4 linked regions of the Rhinolophus ferrumequinum genome follow. The protein of the gene in region 2 interacts with the protein of the main gene of each other region in a pairwise test. Links are inferred from orthologs where the notes say so. Each region holds a gene or a part of one and is shown on either strand. Other genes may lie near its edges. The genes, in order: MGA, MAX, MXD3 and MXD4.

Region 1 (7,729 bases), about 33 Mb from region 2:
ATCACTGGTTCACATCTGATGTATACCATTTTAGACTTCGCTGTTAGTTTACATTGATGTATATCATTTTAGACTATTATGTAAATGAACACATATAGGTATATTCCTACAAAAATGTGATCCTACTACACATAATTTTGTAACCTATTTTTTACACTTAACAATATACATAATACTGTGCTTTCCAAATAATTAGTAGAAATCTGTATCATGTCTACTAGCTAAAAGGTATTACCTTCTATGAGGGCACTTTATTTATTTAACCAATCCCCTATTATTCAACACCTAAGTTTTTCCAGTTTTTGCTTTTATATAAAATACTACAAAGACAACTCTTAAATGAAAATCTTTATAAAGTACCAACCAGTCCCTTAACAAAGAAGAGGAGCTGCTGAGTCAAAGGACATATAGGTTTTTAATGCTTTCATAAGTACAGCCAAAATGGCCTCCATTAAGGATGTTCATACATAATTATCAATCAACGGCAGTGTATGAGTATGCCATTCCCCCACTCCTATGCCAATGCCAAATATGAACATTTTATTACATAGGTGCCAATCTGCCAGACAGAAGGACGAAGTTGTTGTTATTTGTTTATAAGTGAAAAAAAAATGTATTTTCATCTTTATTGGTTATTTTTATGTCTCTGTGTGTGTGAGAGCTACCTATTCATGTCTTTTACCGCCATTAGACATTAAGGTCATTAACGTAGGTCCAACACACCGCGCAAGATTTTTTTCCCACAATTTGTCTGGCTTTACTCATCATTGGATCCCTATACCTGAAAAACTGCCTGGCACATAGTAAGCACTCAATAAATATGTTAAATGAATACTGAATTAATAAATTTGTCTTTTAACTTTATGGTATTTTTGCCAACTAGAGGTTGTTTCGTGCAATAATTCTATCAATCTTTGCCTTTATGAATTCTGCCTTTCTGTCATGCTTAGAACAACTCATCCTATTCCAAGATTGGAAAATTGTTTACCCACTTTTTAAAGTAGCAATTTTCTAACTTCACATTTTATATTTAATTCACCTGGATTTTATTTTATTTACATTTTAAGGTACAATTCCTTTTTTTCAAACAGCCAATTGTTCCAACATCATTTGGAAATTTTTTCTTAACCTATATGAAATGCCACCTTTATAGTACTAAATAGCCTTATATATTTCTAGGTTTATTCTGTTCCACTGCTCTAGTCCAGAGTTACTACTTACTGTTTTGATTATCACAGCTTTATTTGTATGGTCACTAGTGTTAAGAGCCCTCCTCACTTTTCTCTTTCAAATTTTTTCCTATTTTACAGGTTCATTCTTCAAAATAAACTTTTGACTCATTTTGTCAAGCTTTCAAAAGGCATTCTGGCTGGAATTCTGTAAATTACTTAATCTCTCTGTTGCTATTTCCCTCATTGGTAAAACGGAGATAATAGTACTTATCTCATACGTTTGTTATGAGAACTAAATGAATTAAGACATATAAAGTAATATGCTAGAAAGATGTTAATTATTACTCTAATTGCTCAAAAGTGACAACTATCATTATAATGATTGCTCGATAAATGTTTTCCAGATTGTGCTCCCACAAAATTCAAAGGCTCTTTAAGATACATCAAAGGGTAGCATGAAACTGAAAGAGTGATATGAAAAATATATAATGTATGCCTGCTTCATTTCACTAAAGGCCTTGACCTTTGGTTAAATGAAGAGCTGGAGCTGGGAGCAGAGAACCATGAAAAATACCAAAGGCTAGTGAGAGGAAGCCTCAATTTTTTTTATTTTTTTTTATTTTTTTATAAAGATTGGCCCATCAAGAGGAGAAGCCTTATGGGGCATGAGCAAGTCTCTTCTAATTACTTGTGTTTCCCCATCTCCATAGTGACATAGTGATGACAATACTATTATCTCAATTTCTTTCCAGAAACACACAGGGACTAGACGTCCAAAAGAATAGTTTTCAAGTAAGAAAGTGGGCAGGTACAAAGTATAAATGCTATTGATAAAAATGGACAGATATGCCAGATTCTAATAACAAATTACCTTCACTAAATTCCCACATCAACGTAATGATGAGGGAGGGGATGGTTATGGGGTTTTTCTTGTGGGGAGATGCGATTGTCTCAGTTAATAATTTGTTCACTGTTCTTTTGTTATCTACATGACATTGGGATGAGGCAGAGTCATACACCATACGAAGGACCTTAAAGAAACAATCTCCCATACGAAGGACCTTAAAGAAATAATCTCTTATACAGAGCTAAAATATAAATGACAAAATGGAGGCCGAGAGAGGCAACATGACTTGCTAATTACAAAAGTAGCTGAAGGCTTAGACCCCTGGCCTCCTAATTCCCAGACCTCAGACCTCGGCTGATTTCACCACACCACACAGCTTCTCGCCGAGGTTTGCCACGCTTCGAGGTGGGAGGAGTAAAAGCAAGCAATCTGGCCGCAGCGTAAGGCGCTGGAAACCCACAGGACCGCACAGTCGACAGCACGTGACTGGCCACGCCTCTCTCTTCTCCCACCCTCCCCCTTCCCCGCGCCAGCAGCACGCGCTGCCAACCTCGTCATGTGACCTTCACGCGGCCCCAGCGCTCCCCCTGCTAAGAGACTTGTTTCCAGCAGCCATTTTGCCTTGAACTTGTCGTCCGTGTTCACAGCGGAGGTGGACGCCACTAAAACCCGTGGCCAGATTTTACAAGCCGCACACGCGCTTCGAAAGAGCGCTCTGGCCGTCAGGGCTGAGCCGAACCTCACTGAACACGTCGCACCCCGGGGCGCCGGGGAAAGCTGTGGGTGCGCCTCGGCCTGCGATTGGCTGTGGCGTCCACGTGATGCCAGCCCCCCACCCCTCTCCTTCCCCCTACCCACAAAAACACCCAAACATACTCTTAACACCTCGCGCCAAGTACACGCCACTGGGCGCGTGGGGACGAACGGGATGCGTGGCAACCAAGGCGCCTGCGCGTACCTGCCGGGCCGACCGGAGCGGACCCACGCGCCGCGCCGCTCTGCTCACGGGTCCGGGATTCCTCGCGCTGCTGGACCACCAGGCTAGTCATTGGCTGCCAGCTTTGGTCACGTGGTCAACTCAGGCCTGCCCCTAACCGCTAATCACCTGGCACCGTGCTCGAAGCGGCGCTGAAAGTCTTTCGCACGCGGAAAGGGAGGGTAGTTAGAGGACCTCCTTTTCTGCCGTTAGGGGATGGCATTCACAAAGGGGAAACGAGGAAACAGGGTCTCAAAACTAAGGAAGCTCATACCTACCAGTTTAACTTCGCGTGCCCCTCCAGGAGCCGGGAACCATCGCCCTTGGGCGCTCCCCGATGCACGCCGGGATACGTCTGGCGCCCCTCGGTGTGCTGCAGAGCATGCCGGGAAAGGCACCTCTCCCGATTTCCTGGCTCTCACCTCCCGGGCATTCCTTTCACGTCCCCTTGAAAGCCCGGTCCTTCGGCTTGGAATGAGGCGGATTGAGTAATTATGGGAGTGTAACTGGATATAACAGGCACTTTCAGTCCCCCTCCCCCCACTTGTTCCATCCGTGTGGTCTTGGGGAAACCGCTTAACCTTTCTTCATAGAGCATGCATTTAGTAAGTACCTGCTGAGTGCCTTTGTGAATATTGCAAAAAAAACCAGCAAGGGTGTTTGCCCACAAGTAAACTACCAGCCTTTCATGGTCAGTGGAAAAGAATGCTAATTTATATACAACTTACTTAAAACCCCACTTGGGAGAGGAAATAACACCTTGAATTTCTCTTGGGACAGAAGACCAGATCTTCCTTGGTAACTTACTCCTCTTGTTGAGGTAAATGGGGGTGGACGAAAGAGGAGTCATTTTAAAGGGCCCTATTACAATTTCTGGTTCAAGCTAATACTAGCTATGCATATTGGAAGTGAGAAAAACACCATCTGCTAGCGCTGAGAAAAGGTGGTCTTACATCGGAACGCGTTCATTTTGTAACCTATTCACAAACCGGCCTCCAGGTCAAAACTTAATATTCTACTCCCATGAAGCCCCCAATTAAAACAATTCATATCAAATCTCCTCCACTTTGAACTTCTGTCCTCAGTTTTGCGGATTTCAAAACTTTGGTCTTTCAGTTAAAGGGATGATCAAGCATGGGGAATTTGACTACCACCGGTCAGACTCACAACAGTGCTGATTCATAAACAAGGAATTAAATGTATCAATTTAAAATATGATTACCAAGCCAAAATATAGTTTCAGACACCCTTTTCTTGTTTCAAGATATTTGATGAGCCTAATTAATTATTACACAATTGTTTCCTGACTAGAAAGTCAAAAGAAAGGGAATTAGACTTCTGAATATTTATCCAAAGAATATGAAAACACTAATTTGAAAAGATATATACATACCTATCTATGTTCATTGCAGCGTTATTTACAATCGCCAAGACATGGAAATAACCTAAGTGTCCATCAAGGAATAACTGGGTAAAGAAGATGTGGTATGTGTACACACACACACACACACACACACAAACACACACGAATATTACTAAGCCATAAAAAAGATGAAATATTGCCATTTACAACAACATGGATGGACCTTGAAGGTATTATACTAAGTGAAATAAGTCAGAAGAAAAAAGACAAACTATATAATGTCACTCATGTGGAATATAAAACAAAAAAGAAACAACAAATAAAATAAAAACAAACTCACATACAGACAACAGATTGGTGGTTACCAGAGTGGGAGGGGGGGTACAGGAAGGGCAAAATGGATAAAATGAGGTCAAATGTACGGCAACGGATGGAAACTAGATATATACATGCTATAGTGTATACAGATACCGAATTATAATGTTGTATATCTGAAAATTACATAATGTTACTAACCAATGTTACCTCAATTAAAATATAATCATAATAAAAAATATAAAAAAGGGAATTAGATGATCAGATAATAAAACCATTAAACTATATCTATGTTAAACTTGAAGTTTATGAAACATTCCAATATACTTTATTACACGAAACCCTAACAACAACCCTGAAAGAAAAGTACTATACTAATATTACCATCTTCTGAGACAATCTTGAATGGGAAGCTGGCAAATGTGTTTTAACATAGTCTCCAGGCACCTGGAATGCACAACTAGATTTGGGTTCTACTGGCTCTAGTGGAAAGAGCCCAGTCCTTGAAGTCAAAGCCATCTGTGTGAACTTGCAGTTCTCTCACTTACTGTACTTTGACCTTGAACAGGTTTTTGAATGTTTGAGGCTCAGTTCCTTGAACTACAAATTGGGGCCAATCGTACCAAGTCTTTGGATTATCATGATGATTCTGAAATAAAAATATTTAGAATACCTGTCGCCGTCCCTGATGAATAGGAGGCACTCTATAAATAGGAGTACTATTTAGTGGCAAAGTTGTATTCTAACCAGCATCCTGTATTCTGTCCAGTATAGCAGACTCTTGAATCCTTTTTTCTCCACTATTCTGTTTCTCCCCTAGACAGTGCTAGAGGCACACTAACAAATTCTAACACTGCAGATTTCTTTTAGACTTTTTAGTGACTGTTGCCCATCTGTTGGTACATATTGTTACATTATTTCCTGCCTTCATTTCAAGCTTTTTCCTTTTTAACATATTAAAATGCTGAACTGTAGACATTATTGAAGTAAAATAATGATGATACAGAGATGCTTAGAAGGTGGAATGGGCACCTGTGCCTACACTTCAAAGAGGTTAAAATTGTATATATTTAAATATCTCAGAGTAAAGACACCCTCAAAACTCACTTCTCTCTTCACTTATGTAACACAATGTTTTCGATGCTCCCTTCCCAGTCTTCTTCCAGTGGTTTCTTTTCCTCTTCTAGCTTCACCATTCACTCCTAACCAAGGGAGGATTTAGATAGGGCAGAGTTTCCCATACACATCTGAAATTCAAAATTTCAAATTAATTCAATTAATTCAAATTAATTATCTGTCCATTTACCTCACGCACCAGCTACTACCGTATTCCCTTAAATGGGCAATGACACCACTATTCCAATAAGTCTCCCGGTCCAGGAAACCTCCGTTATCCTTAATTGCTCCTTCTCATCTATTTTCCGCTTTCAATGGTTACAAAGTCCTGCTGGTTCTCACATGTAAACGTCTTTTAAATCCAACACCTACTTTCCATTTCTTCCACCATGACATTAGTACAACCCTTATCTCTATGAGACCCTACATATATAAGTATTTCATTATAATGAGAATATCATGTTAAAGTTGATTTCAGAATACAAAATTTGTCATCTATGTTGTTTTACAATAGACGAGTAAAAGGTTTATAATGTCCTACACAGTGAATGTCCTTAGTAAGGAGGAGTGAAATATTTTTTTTAATATAAGCAAATGTATCTAAATACATATAGGAAGTTATAAAGTCTAGAAGTTTGGGGCAAATATTTTACTGAGTGCTGAAGAGAATTAGTTGTGATCTTGGAAGTGATTGTAGATATTTTTGCTATTCTCAAATATTTCTGGTTTTCCCAACTTTCAACAACAAAATATAATTGCTCTCCCTGGCTCCTTTGAAGTTCGGAGTGACTGCTTTGGCAATGAAACGTGAGTGGAAGTGGCATGGAGTAGTTCTGAGAAGAAGTATTAATCCTAGTGCACAATTCAGCCATTTTCTCTTTCCTTCTCCACAGCCACAAGCAATGGTAGTTACCCCATCAGCCTTGTTCCCATCATATGGATGACACAGAGCAGTTACCCCAAGCCAACTAGCAGTGAACATATGTCGTGAGCAAGAAATAATTTAGCTTGCTTTAAGAAAGACACTGAGATTTGGGATCTTCAGTTATCACATAACCTTGCACACACTGAACGATACAGAAATGAAGGAAGTTGCTAGAGGTGACAAAAATGTATTCTGTTAAGGAAGACCCCCATTGCCAATGTACACGATGTGATACAAATTTAGAAACATAAGAGAATAGAAGACTCTAGCAGCATGAGGGGACAACTGCCTGAGGGTGGTGTAAAAGAAGAGCCTGAAGAAAGAATACTCATTGGAACCTTGCTTTTCATCTCTCCCTACTACATAATCCATTTTTTACAGACCAGCCAAAGTGATCTTTTAAAAGTATTAGTGAGATCTTATGACTCCTCTGCTTGAAACTGGCCATGTTTCATATTACACTTACCATTAAATCCACACTCTTCACCTTGGCCTGTAAACCCTAACTGATCTGGTCCTTGCCTACTTATCATTTTATGGTTTATACACACACCCTTGATCACCATTATCATCCGTACTTTATGGCCATCGCACTGGTTGTGCCCTCATCCTGGGATGAAATCCATGTGGATGGATCCTTCTCAGTGATTCTCATCAACTCAATGTGACTTTCTAAGAGAAAGGTCTTAGTTCACTACCCTAGGTAAAGTAGACTCCCTCCATCTACCCATCATCTCTAATTTATCACCCTGTTTCTTTTCTTTATGGTACTTCTCCTTATCTAAAACTACATTATTTGTTGTATTGTTTCGCTTCTGCCTCTACCCAAGAGAACACAATCTCCATGAGAATAGAGGCCTCCTCTGTATTCTCAATATCTTGAACAGTTCTGGCACATGACAAACAATCAGCAACAAAATACTTGTAAACCATGTATATGATAAGGCTTTACTATCCAGAATATATAAAGGACTCCTACAACTCAACAACAGTAACAACCAAAAAAATAAAAAAC
Region 2 (7,800 bases):
GAGAGAGCAGGAGCTAAAATATGAAACTGGCCAAGGAACCAAATCATGAAGGGCTTTATATGCCAAATTATGGAGTCCAGACGTTATCCTGAGGATATTGAGATGGATGGAAAGGTTTAATCAAGAGTAAAGATATGAAATATATCTGATACATCATTCTGATTACAGGGTGGAGAACACACGGGAGGGTTGGAAGTTCCCAGCCCTCTCTGAAAATGTGAGGGGGAAAGCATCCTTTGCTGTGCCCCAGAGATCTTCCTTTTGGCCCTCCAGGTCCAATTGCCCTAGGCTCCAGGTCTCAGCTCCTGTCAGAGGGCCTTTTCCATATAGCCCTCTCCATAACTCTATAACCACTCATTCCCTGCCCTCTACAGGCCTAGGGGTGGGCACAGAGCCCCAGTGGTACTGCAGAATCCTTTGTAGTTTCTTTACACTCTGCCCACATATTTCTAAACAATCTCGTTATTAAAAAACTCCTCAAGTGATCTTAATTTGTATGTGCCAGCTGGTTCCTTCTGGGACCCTTGAAGTTATACCTCCTCCCCAAAAAAAGGAAAAAGCAAGCGTAAATGACATAGGGAAAGCATGGGACTATTGTCCTGAGGATTGTGGCTTGAGAAGTTTGCTGCTTAGGAAAGACAACGGACTTACTGAGATAGTGGTTGTCTTTTAATAGCTCTGCTATTTTGGTGAAAATGATACTGCTCACTTAAAAAGAAAAGAAAAATCATTGGAAATTCCACCTCCCAGAGACAAATGTTAACATTTTTGTGGAATATCCTCGCTCATCAAAGCATCTCAAACTCTAATGTGCATATGAATCACTTGGGTATACTGCCATGTTTCCCTGAAAATAAGACCTAGCCGGACCATCAGCTCTAATGCGTCTTTTGGAGCAAAAATTAACATAAGACCCAATATTATGTTATGTTATTTTATGTTATATTATATTATACCAGGTCTTATATTAATTTTTGCTCCAAAAGATGCATCAGAGCTGATGGTCCAGCTAGGTCTTATTTTCGGGGAAACACGGTCTTACAATGCAGGTCTGATTTAGTAGGTCTGGGATGGGGCCTGTATTTCTAACAAGCTCCCTGGTGATATGGATACCATTGGACCAAACTTGAAGTAGAAAGGAGCTAGATTGGGCTGCCCAGTGACAAGTCCCAGTCTTGAGAAGCTCACATAGGGCTTTACCAAAGACACGCATGCAGAGATGCAAATGAATTCTAAGAGTCCTAGATTATTATTCACATCATAAAAATACTAAAAAGGAAAACTAGAGGAAATGTATGTTCTCGTATGTCTAATTCTTTGCTGCTATTATGCTTTGCCTGTGAAAGTACCTCTATTTGGGTCACTTAATAGTGTTTCTTAAGTTCCAAACGTGTGAAGATTTTCTAGTGTTTTTGTTTTTTGTTTTGTTTTTAAAGATTGTATTGGGGAAGGGGAACAGGACTTTATTGGGGAACAGTGTGTACTTCCAGGACTTTTTCCAAGTCAAGTTGTTGTCCTTTCAGTCTTAGTTGTGGAGGGCACAGCTCAGCTCCAGGTCCAGTTGCAGTTGTTAGTTCCAGGGGGCGCAGCCCACCATCCCTTGCAGGAGTCAAACCGGCAACCTTGTGGTTGAGAGGACGTGTTCCAACCAACTGAGAGCTCCAGGAGCTCCATAGCAGCTCAGCTCAAGGCCCCTCTAGTTATCTTTTACTTATTATTTCTACTTTAATTGCGTTAGGTCCAAGAACTTGTCTTCTAAGATCACAGTCCTATGAAATTTGTTGATATTTGATGTAGGGCTCAGAATGTGATCAATTTTTTTTTTTATTTTTTTTTGATCAATTTTTATAGATGTTCCATGAGAGCTTGAAAATAATATACTCTACAATTTTTGGGTGCAGTGTTTTATGTGTCTTAGGTCAAATGTATTACCTGGGTTGGGGCCGGCCTGGTGGACCAGGTGGCTGGAGCTCCATGCTCCTAACGCCAAAGGCTGCTGGTTCGATTTCCACATGGGCCAGGGGGCTCTCAACCACAAGGTTGCAGGTTCGATTCCTCGACTCCTGCAAGGGATGACGGGCTCCACCTCGCGCAACTAAGATTGAACATAGCACCTTGAGCTGAGGTACCGCTGAGCTACCGCTGTGCTCCCGGCTGGCTCATTTGTTTGGAGCGCATCCTCTCAACCATAAGGTTGCCACTTCGACTCCCGCAAGGGATGGTGGGCTGCGCCCCCTACAACTAATAATGGCTACTGGACCTGGAGCTGAGCTGTGCCCTCCACAGCTAAGATTGAAAGGACAACTTGACTTGTAAAAGGTCCTGGAAGTACACACTGTTCCCCAATACAGTCCTGTTCCCCTTCCCCAATAAAATCTTAAAAAAAAAAAAAAAAAAGTATTACCTGGGTTGATAGGTCTTCATATTCTATCAATTACTAAAAAGATATCTGTTAAAATCACCAGTCTCTCTATCTGGAAAGACTTTCCTCATCACTTCTGCCTACTTCTCCAGGCCTCCATCCAACAACTGAGGATTCATGTTCACCAAAATATGATCCAGTCTCTGCAGATCCCATCCTTAGCCTGATGGAGCTGACAGCCTAACAAGACTTACCTGATCACCAATACCTCCCCACCCCACCTCAGACCTGGAAATATTTCTCCCTCCTCTGAGCTCTTACAGCATTCACTGTCTGCGTAGCTAATTTAACACTTAGTTTGTGTTCACTGCAATTATTTGTATTCATAATTTACTCCCCTATCAGGTTTTAGATTCCAGGTGGGCAAAGATTATCCTATGTTTTATATCACTGCTTTATTGAAATACAATTATTGACAAACCATAAAATTCGCTCTTGTAAAGTACACGATTCAGTGGAACACTATCTTATTTATCTTGGCATCCTCTGTAGCACTGGTTCTCCATCTTGGTTGCACATTGGAATCACCTGCAGAGCTTTAAAAAAAATACTGCTGCCTGGTTCTCACCCCCAGAGGTCCTGACTTAATTGGTTTGGGGTGCAGCCAAGGCATTGGAATTTTTAATAGCCCTGGAGTGATTTTAACTTGTAGCCAGTGTTGCCCTGTAGTGCTTTGCACATAACTGGCACCCAATAATTGTTTGTTGTGATCATGAATTAGCTCTAACTTCTAATATCTAGCTAACTAACTCATGCAAGAGCTACCTTCCCTGTCTCCCTTATAGCCCATCAGCTTTTATATCATAATGGTCTGCTTATGTCTGTCTCCCCCACTTAGTGTGAAAGAAGACTAGGAGACAAACGCATTTAGAAAAGATGTTTACTTGCAAAGCTGTGCAAACTTCAGTAGGACTGGATCACTGAATAAGAAATACAACAGTTATTTAAAGGGAAAAAAATGTAAAGATTACCACATTTACATGTCTCTTCAGCACGAATGATATGGGGATGTATGTCACAAAGGTTGTGACAAATATCCTCAAACTTCTGTATTCAAAAGTCAGGGATAAAATGGTTTTCATGAGGGAATCAGAAATTTAAGAGAAAAGCTCAAGATTTCATTCATTTTGGAGACCAGATGTAAAAGAGTAGTTCGGGTACTTTGTTTCTGTCAGGGGTGAAAGTGTCTTGTTTTCTCTTCCTGTGGGACTTGATGTACACTCTTAAAATGGCAGCAGGGTAGTCTCATTTTTGTTTCCACAGCTGTGAGCAGCATGAAGTCTGGGACAGTTCCAGTCTGATACATTATGGCATCCCCATGCTGGCACATGTAGGTGTTCAATAAATATTGGTGGAATGGATACAATGACACCTCATGCCACCGTATCTAAATATGATTCTAAATGGACAGGAGGTGCAGTTTCACGTTTTGATACTTTTTGCAATTCTAAATTATGGTACTCTGAACTGGGGCACTCCCTAAACTGCCTCGACTGCAACAAACTCAGAAGAGGCTTTTACTTCCACAGAAACGGTTGTTAGGGGTGGGGGGTGGGGTGTCTGGGAATGTATGAGCCTCACGTGAGTAGCAAGGATGGTCATTTGGAAAGATTTTCGCCTCTGGCAGCTGTCCCTCGGTGAGGCCGGTCATCCTGCAGGTCCTGTAACACTATTTAACACCTGACATTGACACATCTTCATAGCCAGATCCTCAGGGTCCTTCTCGTGGACGTCCCGAGCCTCGTCCCCTAGTCTGCCGCAGCAGGATCCCCAGCTGGCGGGTTACGCCCCAGGGCGCAAAGCTGGGAGACTCAGGAATTAAGAAGACAAAGTAAAACCAGTCGCACCAAGGAGAGACAGCGTTATTTAGGAAGCTGGCTACTCCCCCAGAGCCTCCACCCTGTCCCCTGGGCCCGGCGCCCGGCGCTCAGACCGTGCCCGGCTTCAGGAGCTCCAACTCCCTCCACGTGTCCTCTCTTCCCAGGAGTCTCCACGGCTGCCTCGGGAGAAAACCTCCTGACAACTAGGAGTCGCAGACTACGACTCCCAGCAGGCACTGCGCTGCTTCTCTCTCCGCCCACTCCATGGGACACGCAGGCGCTCTGGGCTCCGTCAACAAGTTGGGCTGGCGTCGACTAGTTGCAGTTCCTTACGGGATTTGTAGTTTTCTTGGCGCTAGCTGTGCCGTCAGTCAAAAGAACGAGAACTACAAGTCTCGGCGGCCCCAGCGTGACCAGCCTGGTCACGTGGAAGGGGGCCGACCGGGCGTGCGTGCCGCCGTTGATCTGGTGCTGCAGTGAGGAGGTGGTTCTCGCCCGTGTTGAGTGTGTGTGTGAGTGAGAGAGTGAGTGAGTGAGTGAGTGAGTGTGTGTGTGTGGGGACTCGGCTTGTTGTTGTCGGTGACTTCCCTCTCCCCTCCACCCTTCCCTCTTCCCCGTCGTCGCTGCAGTGGCCGCTCCCTGGGCCGTAGGAAATGAGCGATAACGATGACATCGAGGTGGAGAGCGACGTGAGTCCCGGGATTTTTTCCTTCCCTTGCGGGTTGTCAGGCAGGGACTGCGGCCGGGGCTCTCAGCGGGGTGACGGCGGCAGGGGGCCGGGCAGCAGCCGCCTCCTTCCCCTCCCCCGCCCCCCGGGCTCGGACCGCCTCCGTCGCGCTCCCGGCTTGCTCCCCTCCGGGCTCCTGGCCCGAGCGGCCTTCTGAGCCTGGAGGTGGGAGGGAGATACGCGGCCTCTAGGACCCTCATCCTCCCCCGGTGGAGGAGGGTGCTGCGGCCTCCCGCTCCCACCCTATACCGCTCAGGATCCGGGGGACAGGGACGGGTTGCGCCGGGATCCCATTGTCCGGACCCTAGGGAAGGGGACGACGCTCAGGACCTGCCCCATCGGTCCGTGATCCCCTCCTCTCTTGACCCGCGGATCCTGGGGGGGTGAGGGAGGACGGTGAGGGGTTGGGAGTGCCCAGATGCCCAGAGCTGGGTCCGAGGAAAGGAAACAGTGCTCTGGTTCCCTCCAGCCTGGGTCGGATCCTGGAAGGAGGGGCGGCGCTCGGGACCCCCCTATCCCGCCACCGGATCCCGCTGGGGGGGTTAGGGGTGTGGGGGAGGGAGGGAGGTCGGGCTGACTCCCCACCCGCCGCTTCCTCCGCCGCCGGCATTTTCTTTCTTTAATGAATGTGAAGTGTAAAAATAACTTCTATATTTTCTATTTTTTTTCTCTCTTATTCCAGGAAGAGCAACCGAGGTTTCAATCTGCGGTACGTCTCCTACTCTCCATTTCATTTTCATTTCCATTCAGTTCTAATCCTTTTTGGGGTCAGAGAGAAAAAGATCATTCTATTACTTTTAATAATGTAGTAAACTCTCCTGTTGATCGCTAAGGTGAGGTTGGGGCCTTGTTCTGGGGTTCTAGGTGGGGAGGTGGGTTTGCAAATCTCATAATTTTAGGTTCTCAGGTGACAAGTTGCGGTGACCGGATGAGTGAGAGAAGATATATGCAAAGGAATGAATCGTTCCAAAGTTTTCTGATGGAGGAATCTAGCTGTCACTATATAAGTTGTAGATGAGAAATGCATCATTCTGAAGTAAGTTGTATGATTTCAGGGCAGAGTGGTCGAAAGATTTACTTGGGAACAAATCGATTCTAAACCATATCTATCTAGTTGTTTGAAGCTGGAGCCACATGCAGTGATCGGCTTTAACCAAAAGTCATGTGACTGCTGTAGACTTACTGAATCTAACACACCATGGTATTATTCTAATACAGAAATTGGAAATGTAGAGGAGCCAGAGGTTGAATATGAGAGTCACATACAGCTTATTGTGTAGTCTGATGATGTTTAAGTTGAAGGAGAGAGATAAAATAGAAAAATAATTAAAGAAAGGTGGCATTGCAGAGGTAGTTTTGCTAAAAGGTGATGGTTGAAACCATACAATATCATCAATAATTTGTCAGGATTTTGGTATTAGTGTTCTCAGTAGATGGTTCTATGGATGTAGATACAGATGTAGATATAGATACAGATGTTGATATACATATACACTAATAATATCTTTGGAGTCAGAGACAGTCCTGTGGGTGTTCCATGAATAGATGAGAGAAAGAAAAAAAGAACAGACACAAAATCAGAATCAGAGGGGAAAAGAAATAAGTATATTAGCGTGTCCACTGTTTGACAGCTGGGAACAGTAAGTGTATAGAATGTGGTCAAAAATTCCTATGCCTCTGGGGGACCTAGGCAGGCAGATAGTCACAAATAAAGTAGAGAGCAGAGGGCAGGACTGGGGTACGTGTTATTTTTCTGATTTTTAAAATGATGTGTGGGACAATCAGGTTGTTTGGAGGCTTACTAGAATTTGCAGGATGCCACTTTGATACCTCTGGTCTAAGAATTTAATTACCACAGGATAAAAGCAAGCCCTCTTACTGGTACTTTCATTAGAGCAAGCAAAAATTCTGCAGTTTGTCCAAGCAGATCAGCATTAAGAAAAGTTTTATTTATTGAGAGCTGATATTTCAATAAAAATCTGAGGATAGAGTTTTAAAAATTAAAAATTACCCTGGCTAATAGTGACTAAAAAAAATTTATTTCTCCTTGAAGTATTGTCAGATACTGAAGTTTATATATATATTTGAAAATTCAGTTCCTTTTTTTATCAGTTACTATTACCATTAATAATGTGAACGTGGAATTTCATGCTTGGGACCCAGTCTATTTAAAACATCTTTTTTTCTCCAAGTCTCTATAAAATCTGCTCCAGGGTTTGATCAGGGTTGGAGGATATGGATTTGAATTGGAATTATTATTTGAATTGGAATTACATTGGCTTTTCAGTGGGGGAAAAGTTTTCCATGTGAAATTTTGGCTTACTGTTCTTGAAAGCTTTCTGCTTTTCAAAGTATTCATCCACATGGGCGTTGATGTAAATTGCTTTATTAAATTATTAAAATGTTTCCACTCTCCTAGAATGCTAATCTCATTGTTTTGTCTAGATATATTTTGAGTTTGTTGTTAAGGTGCCTACGATTTTTCTCTTTGATTTTGGTGGGTGGGCAAAGGGAGTGGGTTTGACCCTTTGTTTTTAATTTGACATCTACTTGCTGAGACTTTTCAGTATTATCTGGCACAGGAAATTACAGTAGCATGGAGAGAAGAAGCCATAGACAAATTTTATAGTGTATCAAACAATTATAAACATGTAGGGTAAAAAGGATTACATTATTTTTCTCTGAATATGTGTTCCTGACACTTAGCATAGATAATAAATGTATTATTTAAAAGTTAGGGGGAGCTATTCTTAAGCTTTACCTTCGTTCAGAAAAGGATGTGGAGTGTGAATAACTACGTACGTATTTAGGACTATAGAAGAATTTTTTAA
Region 3 (8,528 bases), on a different chromosome or scaffold from region 2:
AAATATATAAAATAATTAATGGGAAAAGAATAATAATTGGAACAGAGAAGGCTGTTAACCTAAAAATAAAAGGTCAAAGTGAGAGGCAACAAGCATTTATTTGAGATCCAAAAGAATAGCTATTAGGAAGCACTGATTCAGGAAGAAACCCAAACAGTGTTCTGATTAGGAGACAAAGGCAATGGGTATTTATGAGAAGAGGATGGGGAACAATTACGTCAGTAGATGGAAGGCATTTCTATGGGTGTTAAAAAGCTAAGAAAGGAATTTCTATAGGTGCAGATAAGCTAACATAGTGATGCTAATTCTAAAGAATGTCTTCAATATCCAGTCTGGTAGTCATCATGTCCGCTTTCCTGTTATCTTTGCAAACAGTTATTTGGAATACAATGCCTTAGACCCAGTCCAAAATTTATTTTGCCCAGGTTTAACATTCAAAGTTTTGAGGAGTAAGATGTGCAAGGCAGTTCCTTTGAGATGGCAGTTCTGCCTCTATTTTAAAATGACTCCATTTACATTATTTTCTACAAAGGGTATAATGAATTCAGTAGTGAGTTGAATAGTGTCCCTCAAAATTTCATATCCACCCAGAACCTCAGAATGTGACCAAATTTTGAAATAGGGTCTTTACACATGTAATTAGTTAAATTAAATGAGGTCACATTAATTAGAGTGGGCCCTTATCCAGTGACTGGTGTCCTTATAAGAAGAGGGGAATTTGGACACAGAGAGACACAGGGGAGAAAGCCTTGTAAAGATGGAGGCAGAGTTGAAGTGATATGTCTGCAAACCAGGGAATGCCAAGGATTGCTGGCAAACATCAGAAGTGAGGAGAGAGGCCTGGAACAGATTCTTTCTCAGAACCCCCAGAAGGAACCAACCCTGCTGACACACAGAGTTTGGACTTCTAACCTCCAGAACTGTGAGCGAATAAATTTCTATTGTTTTAAGCCACTCAGTTTGTAATATTTTGTTATGGCAGCTCCAGGAAATTAATACACATGGTAATGAGCTATTCTGGGATGTAGCTAGAAAACTTGAAAAAATGAACCAAATGAAAATTCTAGATCTGAAACATACAATAGCTGAAATAAAAAGTACAATGGATGGGCTAAACAACAAGTTGGCTGCTAGAGAAGATAGACAAAGTGAATTTGAAGACAGGTAAGCAGAAATTATCTACACTGAAGCTGAGAGATTTTTAAAACTGAAAACATTAACAAGCATCAGTTACCCTTGAGATATTATCAAACTGGGAGATGGACATGAAATTGAGGTCAGAGTAAGAGAGGAAATAGAAAGAGAATAGGGCAGGAAAAAATATTTGAAGAAATAAAGGCTTCTTCAGAAGCTCAAACCACCCAAGCAAGATAAATACCAAGAAAACCACACCCAGGCGGTTGCCTGACCTTTGTCCTCAGGTTTTAGGAGACATCCTTTTTTCCCCACTGGGGAACCTTGGGCTAGCCAGGAAGTAACAATGTGACAATCAAAGATAAAGAGAAAATATTAAAAGTGGATAGGGGAAAGAGACATTACATATAGGGGGGAAGATAACAATTCCAGCTGACTTAGAAAAAAATGCCAGTCAGAAAGCAAAAGAGTGACATAATTCAAGTGCTGAAAGGCTCCCAACCTAGAATCTTATATCTAGTGTAAATATGCTTCCAAAATGAAGATGAAATAAATTTATTTTCAGATAAACAAATGTTGATAGAATGTGTTGTCAGAAGACCCACATTACCAGAAACTCCAAAGGAAGTTCCCCATTCCCCAGGAAGACTGACCGGAAATGATGCCTGCTTAAACGCAGCTCTACAGGATGAAGTGAAGGATGCTGGAAATGATGTGTGTAGTGGTGAAATACAAAAGACAGTTTATTCTTAATTTTTAAAAAGGGAATTGACTGTTTAAAGCAAATTTGTAGCAATGAGTTTTAGGATTTATAACATGTGTAGAAGTAAAATATATAACAACAGTAGTAAAAAGAATGGTAGAGAGCAATGGTGTATGTTTTTTACATTACATGTAAGATGTTTTCTGTATATATTATACATTATAAAATGGTACAGTATTAATTCAAAGTATACTGCGATAATTTAAAGACATATTTTATAATTCTTAGCATAACAACTTAAAAGAGGTACAGATAAGAAGCCAATTGTGGATACACAATGTAATGCTAATAAAGACCCAAGTAACCCGAAAGAAGCCAGAGAAGAAGGAAAAAAGGGAAAAGGACAGAGGGGACAAATGCAAAATAAAAATCAAGATAATAGACCTTAAACTCAACCGTATCAAAAGGATTTTAGTAAATGCAATTCAAAGACAGAGCTTATCAGACCACAGGGAGCGAAAAGCCCCAATGATATGCTGTGTTGAGAAAAACATGTTAAATATTAAAGACTTTAATAGGTTAAAAGCAAAAAGATAAGGAAAAAACTTACCAGGAAAACAGTAATCAAAAGAAAGCTGTTGTAAGGTTGGCTGGATGGCTCAGTTGGTTAGAGTTTGGTGCTCTTAACAATAGGGTTGCCGGTTTGATCCCCACATGGGCCACTGTGGGCTGCCCCCTCCACAGCTGGATTGAGGCGATTGCTTGACTTGGAGCTGATGGGTCCTGGAAAAACACGCTTAGATAAATAAAAATTAAAAAAAAAGAAAGAAAAAGAAAGCTGTTGTAGCCTTAAAGAAAGGGAGATTGCCAAAGATAAAAAGGGATTTTTCATAATGCTAAAAGAATTAAGTCATCAAGAAGATATAACAATCATAAATGTATACTCGTATGTACTTAATAATAGGATTTTGCACTATGTAAAGCAAAATATGTCAGAACTAAAAAGATAAATACAATCCCACAGTTATAGTTGAAGATTTTAACGTTTGTCTCCCGGTTATTGAATAGAATAAGCAGCCAGCATAGCCACAGGTACTGTGGGCAGGCAAAGCCGAGCGGTGGGGCGTGCACAGGGGCCGCAGGGCTTCAGTGTTCAGGCTGACTGTGCAGAACCTGGGGGGTCTGGGACAGCGGTTCTAAGACCAGTCACTGCTACGGGGGCAAGAGCACTGGAGGTCTTCTGCTTGGTCCTGCGCCCAGATGGTGCTAGCACTAGCATTTTCTCAGAGGGGCCAGAGGGGCATCCAAGGGTTTGGGGCTGGAGTGCCATCATCCCCACCTGCCCTGCTCCCTGGGAGGTATTGCTTCCTGTCCCCCTGGCTGGCGGCCCTGAGCCATATTCATGGGAGGCTTGACCGTAGCCTCCACGTTGTTCTTAGCTCGGATTCTACTCATGGCTCCTAGGATGAAGTCCAGACTTCTCAGTGTGGTCACTCCAGCCTCCCGGCCGCCCCTATCTCACTTCCACAACCTCCCGGGAGTGTCTCTAGCTATGAAAGTGTGCTTCGCTTCCTCCCTCTGCTGGAAACTCTCCTCCTTCAGAAGCCCGCTCTTCATCTTACCCTCACACAAGGCCAGGCCACCTGGGTCCCAGATGTCTGACCAGTGGGTTTGTGTCTGCACTGTGTGGGTGCTGACTTTAGTGAAATCAAATTGGAAATTAATTCACAAGCCTTGACTCCTTTCTTTAAACATAGGTAATTGTGTGTGGGGGTCTGCAGAATCCATCAGCCTGTTCTGGACCCTGCCAGCCTCTCCAGGGCCGGCTTTCACCTGCTCTTTGCTCTCTCTGTGCTAGCCACAGTGGCCACCTTTCAGTCTGCATATATTCCTTTCAGCCTCTGGGCCCCTGCACCTGCTGTTCCTGTGTCTGGAATTCTCCGACATCTCTCTTATACATAGATAACAGCTTTTCATCCATTTCCCCAGAAAAACCTTCTCTGACCTCCCTGATTAGGTCAAATGCTCCTTAGGGTGTACCCTTTCAGTGTCTGTCCTGCCAGGAGCTGTCAAAGCTGTATCTCTATTGTGTCCACCTCTTTCTTCCTCTGTGATTTCTGCAAAAGCAGGAACCCCATCTGATTTTGCACATCATTCTAATCTCCAGCTCCAGCACAGTGCCTGGGGGCCATTAAGTGCTCAGCAAATACTGGGGGAGTGAAGGGCTGGGTGAATGGTTCAGTTCTTGGCCAAGCATGTCAGTGATTCCTCTAGGGGTGACTCTTAGAGAAACTCCAAGGTTTTTCCAAGGAGGCGAAGACTGACCGTCATGTGCCATGTGTTTACCCAGCACTATGTCTTTATAAAGAATCTAGTCCCTCCTCGTCCACCCTCTCCATTGCCCGGTCACTGACTGGGCCCGCCTGGCAGCCTCCGCACTTAAGTCTGTCACTGTGCTCCCGGGTGTGGTGCTGGTGCTGCTCCTAGACGTCACTGCAGCTACTCCCTCGGGAGGCTAGGAGGTCACTAGAGTTCTGCGGGAGGGAGAGGCCTGCGTGTAGTGCCCCGAGCCATAGAAAGTTGCACCTACCTACTGGGCGGCACAGGCGTGGGCTCTGAATCGTCAGCAACGCTGTCGCAGGGCTTCCCGAGCTTTACAGGAGGGAGGTCACTTCCCAAGTCACGGAGCTGAGAAGCAGCGGTGACAGGAAAGGAACCCAACTCGGTCGGCTCCAGAACCCAGGGCTCTCTAGCCAGCCGGTTCGCGTGCTTCCAGACTATGGCGGGGCTCCGGAGGTCGGTACACTACTACATTTCGTAGTGACAGCAGCTGTCTTGCAGGTGAGGAGGAGGAGCCAGGAGACTATTCCCATGAGCCACAATTGGGAACCTGAGGTCCAGCGGGGCCCACAGGGGCAGATGGCCAGCAGGCCAGGGCACAGACCCCGAAGCGCGGAACTGGATCCGCGCCCCCTCCCCCGACGCCTGCGCACTGCGGCCCCATTCCTCGCTCAGCCCCGCCCCCACCACAGGGTTTTCAAATTTGAAACCTGCTTCTTTTCCCGCCCGAAAGTGTTGACCAGCGGCGGGAGAGGGCGGGGCCGCGCGTAGCCAATAGTGCTTCAGAGGCTCCTCGGCCCCGCCCCGAAGGTGACGGCAGTTCGCCGCAGGAGGCAACCTGCAAATGGGCTGGGGCGCCCGCCCGCCCCGCCTTCGCGGCGCCCACGTGCAGCGGCCGGGCCAGGGACCTTCTGGGGACCAAGGGCCCCCAGAGCACCTTCGCTGTGCCCGGCCCTCGCCTCCAGTACGGGCTGGAAACTGAGGCCCAGAGACGCCAAGCAGCCAGTGCCGGGTCACTGAGCAAAGTGAGCTAGACACATCAGCCCCTAGCCCGGGAGTTCGCCCTAAAGCCGGGCCTGGAGCTGGCGCCGTAGCGTCCCCGCGAGAGTCCAAGGGGGCGAGCTGCGGTCCCGGCGCGTCCCAGAGGGGCGGGGCCAAGAGCTGGGCGTCCCGGGGGCGGGGCGTCCCGGGGGCGGGGCTGCGCGCCTGTGTTTGTTGCACCGTGTCAGTTACATTGTAACAAAAGTGGTGCAGCCGCCCCTCCCGCCCGCGCCCCAGGCCCGCCTGCCGCCAGCTGTCGCCGACATGGAACCTGTGGCCAGCAACATCCAGGTCCTGCTGCAGGCCGCCGAGTTCCTGGAACGCCGCGAGAGAGGTGAGGCAGAAGAACCTTTGGCCGGACTCCAGGCGGCGACTTCGCTGACACGGGCCTGGGTTGGACTTGGCTCCTAATTGGAAGGATGCATGCATGGACTTGGGGCAGTAGCCCCGGGACACCCCCACTTTCAACTAGAGAGGGGTCTGCTAGTGGTTGGGCTGTGAGGGGTTGGGGAAATGGACCTGGCGCCAAAAGCCCCTCCCTGACTGTGCCGTGCCAGGGGCGCCCGCTGGTACCAGCCCCAGCTTGACGCGGGTGGGGGCTCTTTCTGGCAGAGGCTGAGCATGGCTACGCATCTCTGTGCCCGCACCGCAGTACAGGGCCCGTCCACAAGAGGAGGAAGCGATCCCCCCAAGCTCCTGGCGCGCTGGACAGTGGGCGGTGAGGAGGGCTGGGGGTGACGGGGCGGGGGTGGGGGGCGGTGCGCGACGCCCCTTCTCGGGCCCCTCCTCGGCCCCCTTCCTCCTTGTTGCTTGAATCTTCTGGGCCAGGTACCCTACTCTGGAGACATTCAGACCCCTCTTGCCGTCTCTCCACCCCCCCAAACACACACCCTTCTATTCACTCAAGGACTATTTCTTGAGTACCCCTGATATGCCAGGAACTGTGAACAAGGGAATTCTGGGTCCTGCTTCCACTCACGCTCCTGCGCTCCACCTATCAAACCACTCTCTTTATCCCACAGGCTTCCTCCTTTTCTCTCCTTGTCTCAACATTTTGCACGATGTTCCCTCCAATTTGAGTGCTTCTCCCTTCACTACCTGCTTTGGGTAGCTTGTGTTTCCGGCTCAGCTCACTTGTCCAGGAAGCCCTTCCTGACTGCTGGTAGGGGGCTTCATTTGGACCTCACAGCCACCATGGGCAGGCCTCTCTCAGCATTTGCTGCCCCCACCTACCCACCCACCCCATGTGTCTCTGCTACCATCTGGCAATTCAGGTGCCTGAGGCCAGCACAAGGTCCCCACACTGAGCTAGTTGGGGGCAGGCATCTGTAGTGAGTGGGTTTTGAGCCCCTGGGAGCCTGGTACTGAGGGTGTGGGCAGCAGCCGACACCCCTTTACCCCATCCTCCCCGGCATTGGCAGGTCTGTGCACAACGAGCTGGAGAAGCGCAGGTGAGTACCAGCCCTGCCCTGACAGCACCAGGCCCCAGGAACCGCTCCCTCTGGCCTGGCCTTCCCTGCCAGCCCTCTGGCCAACAAGACTGGACTGGCACTGCCCTCCAGACCCCTTCCCCTGCAGGAGGGCCCAGCTGAAACAGTGCCTGGAGCAGCTGAAGCAGCAGATGCCCCTGGGGGCTGACTGTGCCCGATATACCACACTGAGCCTTCTGCGCCGGGCCAGGATGCACATCCAGGTAAGGGGCTACCCTCGCACCCTGGGGCCAGCTTGCCAGGACGGGTGGAGAGGTGTAGTAGGGAGAAGCTGGATGGAACTGGAGAGAGGCCTGAGGTCATAGCCCCTCTGTGTGACAGGGAACAGTTCTCCGTGCTTTTTTTAGTTTCCACATTTTTTTAAATGTGAAGAAAAGCAAAAAATAACTCAGAGGATTGTTCTGAGGCTTAAGCTTCAGTGTTCACCCAGTAAATGTTCACTGTTGTTTTTACAGCTATTACTCCTTCCATCCCAACTGTAAGGCCCTGGGCCAGGCTCTTAGCCTCTTTGGACTTCCTTTCCTCCTCTGTATGGGGGACATGGCTGTTGGGTCATGTGTAAGGCCCCCCTGGAACTATAGTGGGGTGGTCCTCGCTCTTCCTCTCCCTGTCCTTCAAGTCCTGTTCTAGGCAATCTCTCCTGAAGCCACTTTGGGAGGCAGCTCCAGAGGCCAGGAGGGGGAAGACTCTGAGAGGGACTGTCACCCTTGTTCCCAGAGCTCTGCTGCTGCCCCCTGGTGGACATGAGTGGGGTGTGCTGACTCAAAGCTCCAGGCAGTGGGGATTAGGAGCTGCGTTGGAAATAACAGAGGCCTTTCCTGGCCCTTTTGTCTGGGGAAGAAATGGAGGCACAGCCCGGCTTATGAGCGGCAGATTCAGAACTCAGGCCCAGGTCTTCTGACTTGCATTCTTTCCTCCAACAAGTATTTATTGAGCACCTGCTCTGCCAGGCCCTCCTAGGCACAGGGGGTTGTGGCGGAAACAGCTGGATGTGCCATGTGGCAAATAAATCAGTGTGGGAATTGTCCGCACTGTCCCATAGGTGCCTGAGTTCCTGTTATGGTGGCTGAATAACACCGTGGCTGGATAGCAGGCCCCAGTTTGTCACATGGAGCTTGCCTGGCCTGGTTCTCGGAGGGACGGTGTGCCCCTCAGGTGCTGACTGGCTGGTGGGCAGGACCCAGGGATCGCTCCTTCCTGGAAGCCCCATCACCCCTCTCCTGGACTCCCAGCTTCCTGGTTTGCCTCCACCAGGCTGTCCTCCACCTTGCCTTAGGATGTTGTTTGCATCACATAGATCTGTCCAGGTCTGTCTCCTATGAAAACCTTCCATGGCTCCTGACAGGACAGTCTCAGACCTTATTTCCTGTGAACTCAAGGCCCTTTGCAAGTCAGGCCTTGCCACTGGCCTTTTTTCGTTTCATCTCTTCCCCATTCCCCATAAAAAAGCCGAACTCTCTGTGCTCTTCCCGGTCTCCCTCTGCCCGGCTGCTTCTCCTCCCCCATCTTCACCCAGGCAGCTCTTACTCATCCTTCTACACTCAGTCCCAATGCCCCCTTGTCCCGTGCTCCCCTTCTTGTTGACTGAAGGCTTCTGCCCACTGAAGGCTCTGACGTGAGAACCCTTGGCCTTCCAGTTCCTGGTACTTGGGCTGGCAGAGCTCTGGTGGGGGTCAGGGGAGGAGATTAACACTGAAGCCTTAGGGATCTTGGGGGGGCCTTGACCAGGAGTTACAAACTGGTAGCCTTTTGTTTAGTCTGTAGTTTTCTAAACGTTTAAATTAGTTGGCAGCACTTAAAAGGGCATTTGACATGAAACA
Region 4 (7,382 bases), on a different chromosome or scaffold from region 2:
AGGATGCTTCCTGGAGGTGCTTGTTTCCTGCCTGGCCTACCCAGAGCCACCTCCTCCAGGCAGCCTTCCCATTCAGTGGAGGCCCCCAGCCCACCCTCATACATGTTCTCCCATCAGAGCCCCGGGGCCCTTTGCAGGGATCAGCGAACTTGTCAGCCTCTCCTGCCTCTGAGATGGGAGGAGTGATTCCAGACCAGCACGGAGCAGTTGCTCAAACACAATGTCACGCCAAAGACTTAAACACCAGCAAGGCTTTGGTTCTGCTGCTGTGCTCGTTTGCTCCCAAACGGTTAGGGCAGCCCAGGCTGGAGCCTGCACCTGAACTGGGCAAAGATGGGTACCCAGACACTCCAGACCTGCCTGCCCGTGGGGGTCTGCAGGTCAGGGGCCATTGGAGCTGGCTGAGCTGGCTGGGCCCTGGGGGGTGGGCAGTGTGTCTGTGGAAAATAGGGTGCCAGAGCTAGAGGCCAGAACAGCCCTGAGAGTTTGAGAAATGGTGATGCTCCCAGCGGGGTGGGGGGGACACAGATGGAGAATAAGGCACCAAATGCCATGAGGGCAATGGCGAGTTGTGGCAGAACTCTGAGCAGGGGGGACACATTCCGATTTGTGGTTTAGACATCGAAGGGAGGAGGAGTTGGTGGGGCAGAGGCCAGGGTCCCCACTGTTGGGACCTCAGCTCCATCAAAGGCAGTAACACAGCCTAGCCACAGTGACAGCTGTGACCTTACTGTCCCCCAACCCCATCACTCAGGACCCTGTGACCTGAAAGGCCTCTGCACCCTCTGACGGAGGCAGCTCAAGTCACCCTCGCCAGAGCCCAACCTGCTGCCCTCTGGGTGTAGAAGCAGCTGGATGACCGGGACCCTGGGATGGGAAGTTGGGCGTGAGTTTCCTGGGCCCAGGCCCTCAGGGCATCCTGCCTGAGACTAGGAAGCCTCCACTTTGGCATTATGTTAGGCTGTGCAGACAGTTAACCACATCTTGATTTTGTATTCTGTCTTCTTCTTGTATTCTGGAGACATTTTTTCCCTGAGTGTTAAACTTCTTGAAGACCCCGGAATGCTCAGAGGCCTGTCTGCTGCCCACGGCGGGCCAGCTTGAGCAGCCATCACTCCGGCCCAGGTTTGACCATGATTCTGATACTGACCGATGGCGACTGGGCAGGCCTGCGTTAGAAGCACTTGCTGATTTTGGGCTGATGTTTATTCCTGCCACCTCCCTTTGTGCTGAGCCTGCAGCTGCCCATGCATTCCTCAGGGTACCCCACCACCTCCCCAAGCAGCAAGTACTGTCAACTCCATTTTATGGCTGGGGAAACTGAGGCTCAGAGACATTAAGTGACTTGGCCAAGGTGTTGTGGCCAGACTAGAATCCAGAGTGGCTTTGCGGAAGGGACCCGTAACAGGAGCTCCCCAGGAATCTCCCCTGGTCCTGGAACCCACGAGGCATCTCAGCATGGGAGCCAAGGCTAGGCTTTCTTCTGTCCCCAGGCCCCGCAGACCTGCCTGCAGGGAGCTGTCCAAACAGGCCATCCCAGGGGTCTGAGGAGAGGCAGGCTGTGGGCTGCCGGATTCCAGCACCCACCCAGGGCTGGGCCCCGTCTTGGACTCTAAATGGAGATAAGGATGGAGGGCTGGGCTTCCAGTGGGGGGCCTGAGGTGTCTGCCTCCTCTTAGGTGTCTGCCTCCTCTCCCTGGGCATGGACTTTGCTGATTCCTTCTGGGACAGGTCCCTGCACTAGATAAGGGGCAGGAAGGGCTGAGCAGGAGTAGGAAAGGGAGGCAGGTGAGGAGGCAGCTGGCCTGGCCTGGGCTCAGGGAAGGTTCCCTGGAGGAGGTGCTGGGTACCTGCTGGAGACGTGCCCTACAGAACTGGTCCTCGAGGCGGCACTGCACCTGACAGCCTGAGACCCAGACGCATCTGCCTGCACCAGGCCCCCTGCCCTTCTTCCCAGCCCCTCGTTCACACGTTCCTCCCATCCCTCTTGCACCCCTACTCTCTGTGGTGCAGTTGTGCCGACTCTCAGAGGTGGTGGGGAGCCCCTCGGGCACCTGGTGTGGCTGGGGAAGGGATCCCCAAAATGGCCTAGATGTAGATGGAGGTCAGGTGGGGGCCACCCCCTTTGCTCTCAGGCTGGGAGACAGCAGGCACACAGCTCCCACAGTCACCCCTGGTCACCTGAGCTGCCTGCTGTGGCACAGGGTGCACCTCACACACCACCCCTGGAAGGATGGTGGCCATGGGGCACGTGCACCCACGCAGGGCTAGGTGCTGCTTTAGGACTGAGGCCAGCAACCCACCCTTCACATAGGCAGGGATGGAGTGATGAGCAGGTGCTGAGCTCGGGGCCACCTCCTACACCCCAAAGCCCAGAATGCACCTGCCCCTCCCCAGAGTTGGGCGCCCTCCTTTACTCTGCGTCCGGAGCAGCCCTCCAGACTAACCCGGAGAGCCATTGCACCCAGCTCTCGTCAGGGGCTCTGCCCTGGCCGTGGGGTAGCTGTCAGGCAGGAGCAGGAAGCACGGCCTTAATATCAAGGGGTTGTTTTAATGTCCGTGCAGGGCTGTCTGAGAGCAGTGTCCAAGCTCCCCCCGGGTTCTGCCACTCTGCGGGGCACACGTTCCGCACCCTATTTCTCAGATCACACAGCTGTGGCGCTCACCCCAACAAGTCATGCTGGGGCAGGAGGTGGCCTGGTCTCTGCACTCCTGTGTCACCAGCCCTGCGTCACACATATAGGAGCACTAATGTCCATTCCATGGGGACTTCCGGGAGACCCTGGGGAACCCCTAAACCTCAGGATTCCCAGTTTCCTCATCTGCAAATCGGGGATGCAGAAACACACAAGGTTTTTTGTAGTTTTTGTTATGTTTTGTTGGCTGCAGCAGTGCTCCCTCCCCAGTTTAGAACTTCTGTGGGGAATCCCATCCTCAAGAGCTGCCCAGCCACCAGTCTTAATAAGCAGTGACAGGGAAGATCAAGGGTGACTGAGGCCAGTCTGCGGCTGCCCCCGGGCTGCCAGTCCCTGCTCCTATGGGGCCATTTTAGGGTCAGGGGTTGCCAGGGCCACCGGCCAGCTGGGAGCTTGAGATGCTGTCTCCCTTCCCACGGAGTGCACCTCTCTTCCCCAGAATGTGCTCCCTTGGCCAGAGGGCACCAGCGCCTGCCTCTCCGAAAGTCCTCACCATTCCGACCAGACAGGAGCACGCAGCCTTCCACGCATGGGAGCCCCTCCAGGTTGTGTCGGCAAATCTTTGCCCCGCTTCTCTAAGCCTAGAGCTCCTCCTTCAGCTCTGGGGTCCGCTAGACAGCTCTGAGACAGACACCCCACCCGGGCCTCAGCTTCCCAGTTGAGATCCTCAAGGCGGTTTGGCTTTTAGGCTCAGACTGTCTGCGCCCCTCTTCCAAGCCCCGGGCTCTCCTGGGATCACTCTTCGTCCCAGGAAGGGGTGTCGTTTTGCAGCCCTACGCGAGACCACTAAGGTCACAGCCAGGCCCTGTGCTCCCGCGGAGCCAGTGCTGCAGATGGCTCAGGGGCAAGAGGTTCCCTCTCACTGTGTGCAGACCTGGGAGCAGAGAGGCGCTCCAGACGCTCCCCGCGCCCTAACGGGCCCTCGCGCAGGGCCGGGCGTCGGGCAGTCCCACCGCGCTCTGCTTCCTCTCGGCAACGCGTCCGGCCGCGGCGTCCTCATTGGCCGCGAGCCTCGCAGCCAGCCATTGGTCCGCGGTGCCTATTTTACATAGACCGCTCTGGGCCAATCGGCGTGCGGCGACTACTTAACATGCACGCCGGCCGCCAGTCAGCTAGCGCGGGGGCCGGGCCACCACGTGCTGTTGCTAAGCTTGGGCTTCTAAATTGTTACTAGCGCGGCGGGCCTATCCCAACCGAGCATCGCATCTGTCAACATTCTCGGCCCGGCCCGAGGCGTTCGGCCGGTTCCGATTGGCCTGACTGGGGCCAACGTCCGCCCCCGGAGCCCGAGTACTGGCCCCCATTGGCTGTGCCGGCCGCCGCTCGCCCATAAGTGTCAATTTGAGGACCGGAGGCGGAGGGTGGCGGCCGAGCGCACAGGGAGTCCGCGGGAGTCGGGGCAGTGGGGCCGCCGGGCGCGCGGGGCAGGCGGCGAGCGGAGCCGGCCGGAGTGGGCCGGGCAGCGGCCGCCGCCGTCCCGGAGCGCAAGGGCGGGCCGGAGGATGGAGCTGAACTCCTTGTTGATCCTGCTGGAGGCGGCTGAGTACCTGGAGCGCAGGGACCGAGGTAGCGCCCGCGCCCCTTTGTGCGCCGGGCCGCGGGAGGGCGGGCGGGCTGGCAGCGGCGGGACCGGGACCGGGACAGGGCCCGCTGACCGCACCGTCTGTCCGCAGAGGCCGAGCACGGCTACGCCTCGGTGCTGCCCTTCGACGGCGACTTCGCCAGGAAGAAAACAAAGGCGGCCGGCCTGGTGCGCAAGGCCCCGAACAACAGGTACCGCCCCTCGCGCGGCCGACCCTGGCCTTCCTTCCCCCCGACTGCCTTCCCTCGACCCGGATCCCCGGCCCGCAGCCGGGCCTCCGCCGTGCGCCCCGGCGGCCAGCCTGGAGGAGGAGGCACGCCGGGGCCGCGGCCGCAGCCCCGCCCGCCCGGCCCCGCCCGCGCCGTCGCCATCTTCCTGCGGGCCGCGCCTCCTCGGCCTCTCGCGTAAACAGTGCCACGCGTACAGCCCCGCCGTCCGGGGTCTCCTCCCGCAGCGGCTCCCCGCCCCCAAGTTGTTCTGGACTTTTCTGGGCAGGAAAAAAGTTGTCAGTGGGTGTTGGCCGGTGCCCCTTGGGTCTGGGGAGACTGAGGCTTGGTGCAGAGCAACGTGGGGTTACCCGCCCTGATCTCAGCTCACCGCAGGTGGTTGGGTGGGCCTCATCTCTCCGACTGTGTCCTAGGGGCGAGCCCTGCTGCTAGGCTGATTCCCCCCACCCCCCACCCCCAGTGGCCTGGACAAAGAAGGCGGCACAGAGGCCCTGCCCTGGGCCTCCACTCCTTCATGGTGCTCACGATCCTGCCGGCCTCCTGACACAAGTGAAACTGGTGACAAGTGTAGGGGTCTCCTTCTTTGGGACTTGGGACCCTTTTTAAGGGGGAGGAGAGAGAGGGGGCAGGGTGCTATGCTGCAGCTTCTCCTAGTACCAGAGTCTCTGGTCCTCTGGCCTCCACTCAGGTTGCAGAAGCAGGGGTGCACAGCCCTGGGTGGGGAGTGGGGACCCTCAGCTAGGGCTCCCGTGGGGTTCCACTCTCCTGGCTGCCAGGAGGACCAGAGGACACCTGACACTGCCCAGGGCCCACTTTGGCCCAGACCAGGTCTGTCATCAGGCTGGGAGCTGCACTTTGGGGGGCTTCGGGGCCCCTTGGCAGAGGGTGCGGTTCATTCCTGTGGCCTGTCCGTTCTTGGGAAACAGAAAGGCTGGCACAAGGACTCATCTCCTGTGACGTCCTGGCGCCTGGGCCTGGCAAGGAATTGTTTGTCTCCATCTGCCCTGGCTTGGACATGCTTCTGAGTCCCGGCCCCTGGTCCCCTGCTGGGGACAGTTTGGGAAAAGACATGCATGGGGGCGTGGGGGGCACCACTGCCTCAGGCCTCCTCAGTGAGCTAGCTAGGCCCCTGCTGTGGGCTCTCAGTGTCCCAAGTGCCATACCACCCATGAGAAGCTCCCAGACATGATCTTGGACTCCCATGGCATGGCGTACCCAAAAAAGATAACCAGAATCACAGCCAAGGCTGTGTGAGTACTTCCTACATACTGTTTCACACACATGCTAACTAATATTCACCTAACCCCATGAAGGAGCCGTTATTTTTATCTCCATTTTAGGACTGAGGAAACCGAGGCAGAGAAAGATTGAACTACTTGCCCAGGCCACCCTCCCACCTCGGGACTCCTTTTTCGAGTGGGTCCTGGTCCTCTACGTTCTGCCGGGATGGAGACCTTGAGGGCACTGGAAGGGACCGAGAGGGTCTCCCAGGCTGGGGCACACCTCGCTGCTGCTCCTGTGGGCAGAGCCCGACTCCCCCAGTGCCCGAGCCACCCCAGGCTCACAGAGACGCCCCTTGAGGCTGTCCTGGCTCAGCTGGGCCTCAGCCAGCCCAGAGCAGGGGCTAGGGCAGAGCAGGGCCTGGAGGACCCGGGGCTCTGACTGGGCGGGACAGTCCCACACTTGGAAGGCTTTTGTGTCCCACCAAGGTGAGGGAAAAGATGGGCACAGCTGGAACCAAGGTGAGGGGAGGGTAGTAGGGCAGGAGGACAACGTGTGTGGGCTGAGACAGCAGCCCCAGTGGCTGCCGAGGGCTCCAGCAAGGGCTTTCAGGGCAGTTGTTCAGCAGGAGAGCCTGGAGCTAGCCTGCTGGGGGGAGGGGGACAGAATAGCTACCTCAGAGGGTTGAAGTGAGGGGCAAACCAGGTGATGCCAGGAACACACTTAGCACAGCTCTGGCCGGGGCATTTCACCTGTCCCGAGGCCACCCTGAGAAGCATAGACCGTGACAGGCACTGCTGGTACCTGTGTGGTGACTCCCTCCAAGGCTCCCATGGGTGTGTCCTGGCCAGGAGGGGCTCTTCTCCCTGCAGGGAAGGGTCCTGCCCACCCTCTGAGGGGGTGGGTGGGCTTCTCTACATTGAAGGACACCTGCTTACTCCTGCATCCCTCACAAGTGGGCAGACCTACAGACCCACACCACTGGGCTGCAGTTCAGGCCCGCGAGGAGCCTGGTGGCTGTGCCCCTCCAGCCCCGACTGGCCCTGGCAGAGGTTCTGAGGCTCCTTGCCCAGCCCACGTGACCAGCAGGCCCTGAGGCCCCTGGTACCTGAGTCTGGATGCAGTCCTGAGGCTGCACAGGGAGGCCCAGGAGCCGGCTGCCCCGGTGGGAGGAAGGGAAGCCTTGGGCCCCAATTGGCTGTGGTGGGCCACAAAGCATGGCAGGTGGCAGAGGCAGGCGGAATGGGGAGGCACCCTGGCCCAAGGAGTGGGGGTGAGAGATGCCTAAGCCTAAGTTCCTGGAGGAGGAGAGAGTGAGGGCAGGCAGGCAGAGCTCAACGGAAGCTCCAGGAAGGGGTGAGGGTTGGGGGACACAGGTTTTGGTGGCCTGGTTCTCTGCTCTCATATGAGGCAGGCTTGGTGGCCTAGGAGCCCTCTCTGGCCTGGCCTGGGGGGCGGGGGTGACCTGGAAATGGGAGCTTGGCCCCACTACCTCACTGTCCCACAGGGCAATGGCTGGGGCACTGCCCATGCGGGGCTCAGGACTCTGCCCCTGTGTGAATGGGCCAGATGGGCAGGGCTTGAGCCGCAGATGGGCCACTGCCCCAGAGAGACCGAGCTCGGGCCCAGGGCAGCCACTCCTGCCAGACCATGACC

Evidence for each region.
Region 1: the proteins of MAX (region 2) and MGA interact in binary tests that used the Homo sapiens proteins (3 or more experiments, as listed by UniProt). The link is inferred for Rhinolophus ferrumequinum from reciprocal best matches to the Homo sapiens genes MAX and MGA.
Region 3: the proteins of MAX (region 2) and MXD3 interact in a two-hybrid assay, tested with the Homo sapiens proteins (4 studies listed by BioGRID). The link is inferred for Rhinolophus ferrumequinum from reciprocal best matches to the Homo sapiens genes MAX and MXD3.
Region 4: the proteins of MAX (region 2) and MXD4 interact in a two-hybrid assay, tested with the Homo sapiens proteins (2 studies listed by BioGRID). The link is inferred for Rhinolophus ferrumequinum from reciprocal best matches to the Homo sapiens genes MAX and MXD4.

The regions. Positions count from the first base shown.
Region 1 is NC_046289.1:63,755,351-63,763,079, forward strand, and holds the start of MGA (MAX gene-associated protein), read right to left. Parts: upstream 3,397-7,729; 5' UTR 3,274-3,396; intron 3,058-3,273; exon of another isoform or gene 2,978-3,057; intron 2,912-2,977; exon of another isoform or gene 2,896-2,911; intron 1-2,895. UniProt on the Homo sapiens protein: Functions as a dual-specificity transcription factor, regulating the expression of both MAX-network and T-box family target genes. Functions as a repressor or an activator.
Region 2 is NC_046289.1:30,901,481-30,909,280, forward strand, and holds the start of MAX (protein max), read left to right. Parts: upstream 1-4,679; 5' UTR 4,680-4,895; coding exon 4,896-4,931; intron 4,932-5,651; coding exon 5,652-5,678; intron 5,679-7,800. UniProt on the Homo sapiens protein: Transcription regulator. Forms a sequence-specific DNA-binding protein complex with MYC or MAD which recognizes the core sequence 5'-CAC[GA]TG-3'. The MYC:MAX complex is a transcriptional activator, whereas the MAD:MAX complex is a repressor.
Region 3 is NC_046307.1:5,312,720-5,321,247, forward strand, and holds the start of MXD3 (max dimerization protein 3), read left to right. Parts: upstream 1-5,391; 5' UTR 5,392-5,482; coding exon of another isoform or gene 5,483-5,552; intron 5,553-5,830; coding exon of another isoform or gene 5,831-5,839; coding exon 5,840-5,936; intron 5,937-6,639; coding exon 6,640-6,911; intron 6,912-8,528. UniProt on the Homo sapiens protein: Transcriptional repressor. Binds with MAX to form a sequence-specific DNA-binding protein complex which recognizes the core sequence 5'-CAC[GA]TG-3'.
Region 4 is NC_046288.1:86,854,707-86,862,088, forward strand, and holds the start of MXD4 (max dimerization protein 4), read left to right. Parts: upstream 1-4,048; 5' UTR 4,049-4,198; coding exon 4,199-4,262; intron 4,263-4,369; coding exon 4,370-4,469; intron 4,470-7,382. UniProt on the Homo sapiens protein: Transcriptional repressor. Binds with MAX to form a sequence-specific DNA-binding protein complex which recognizes the core sequence 5'-CAC[GA]TG-3'.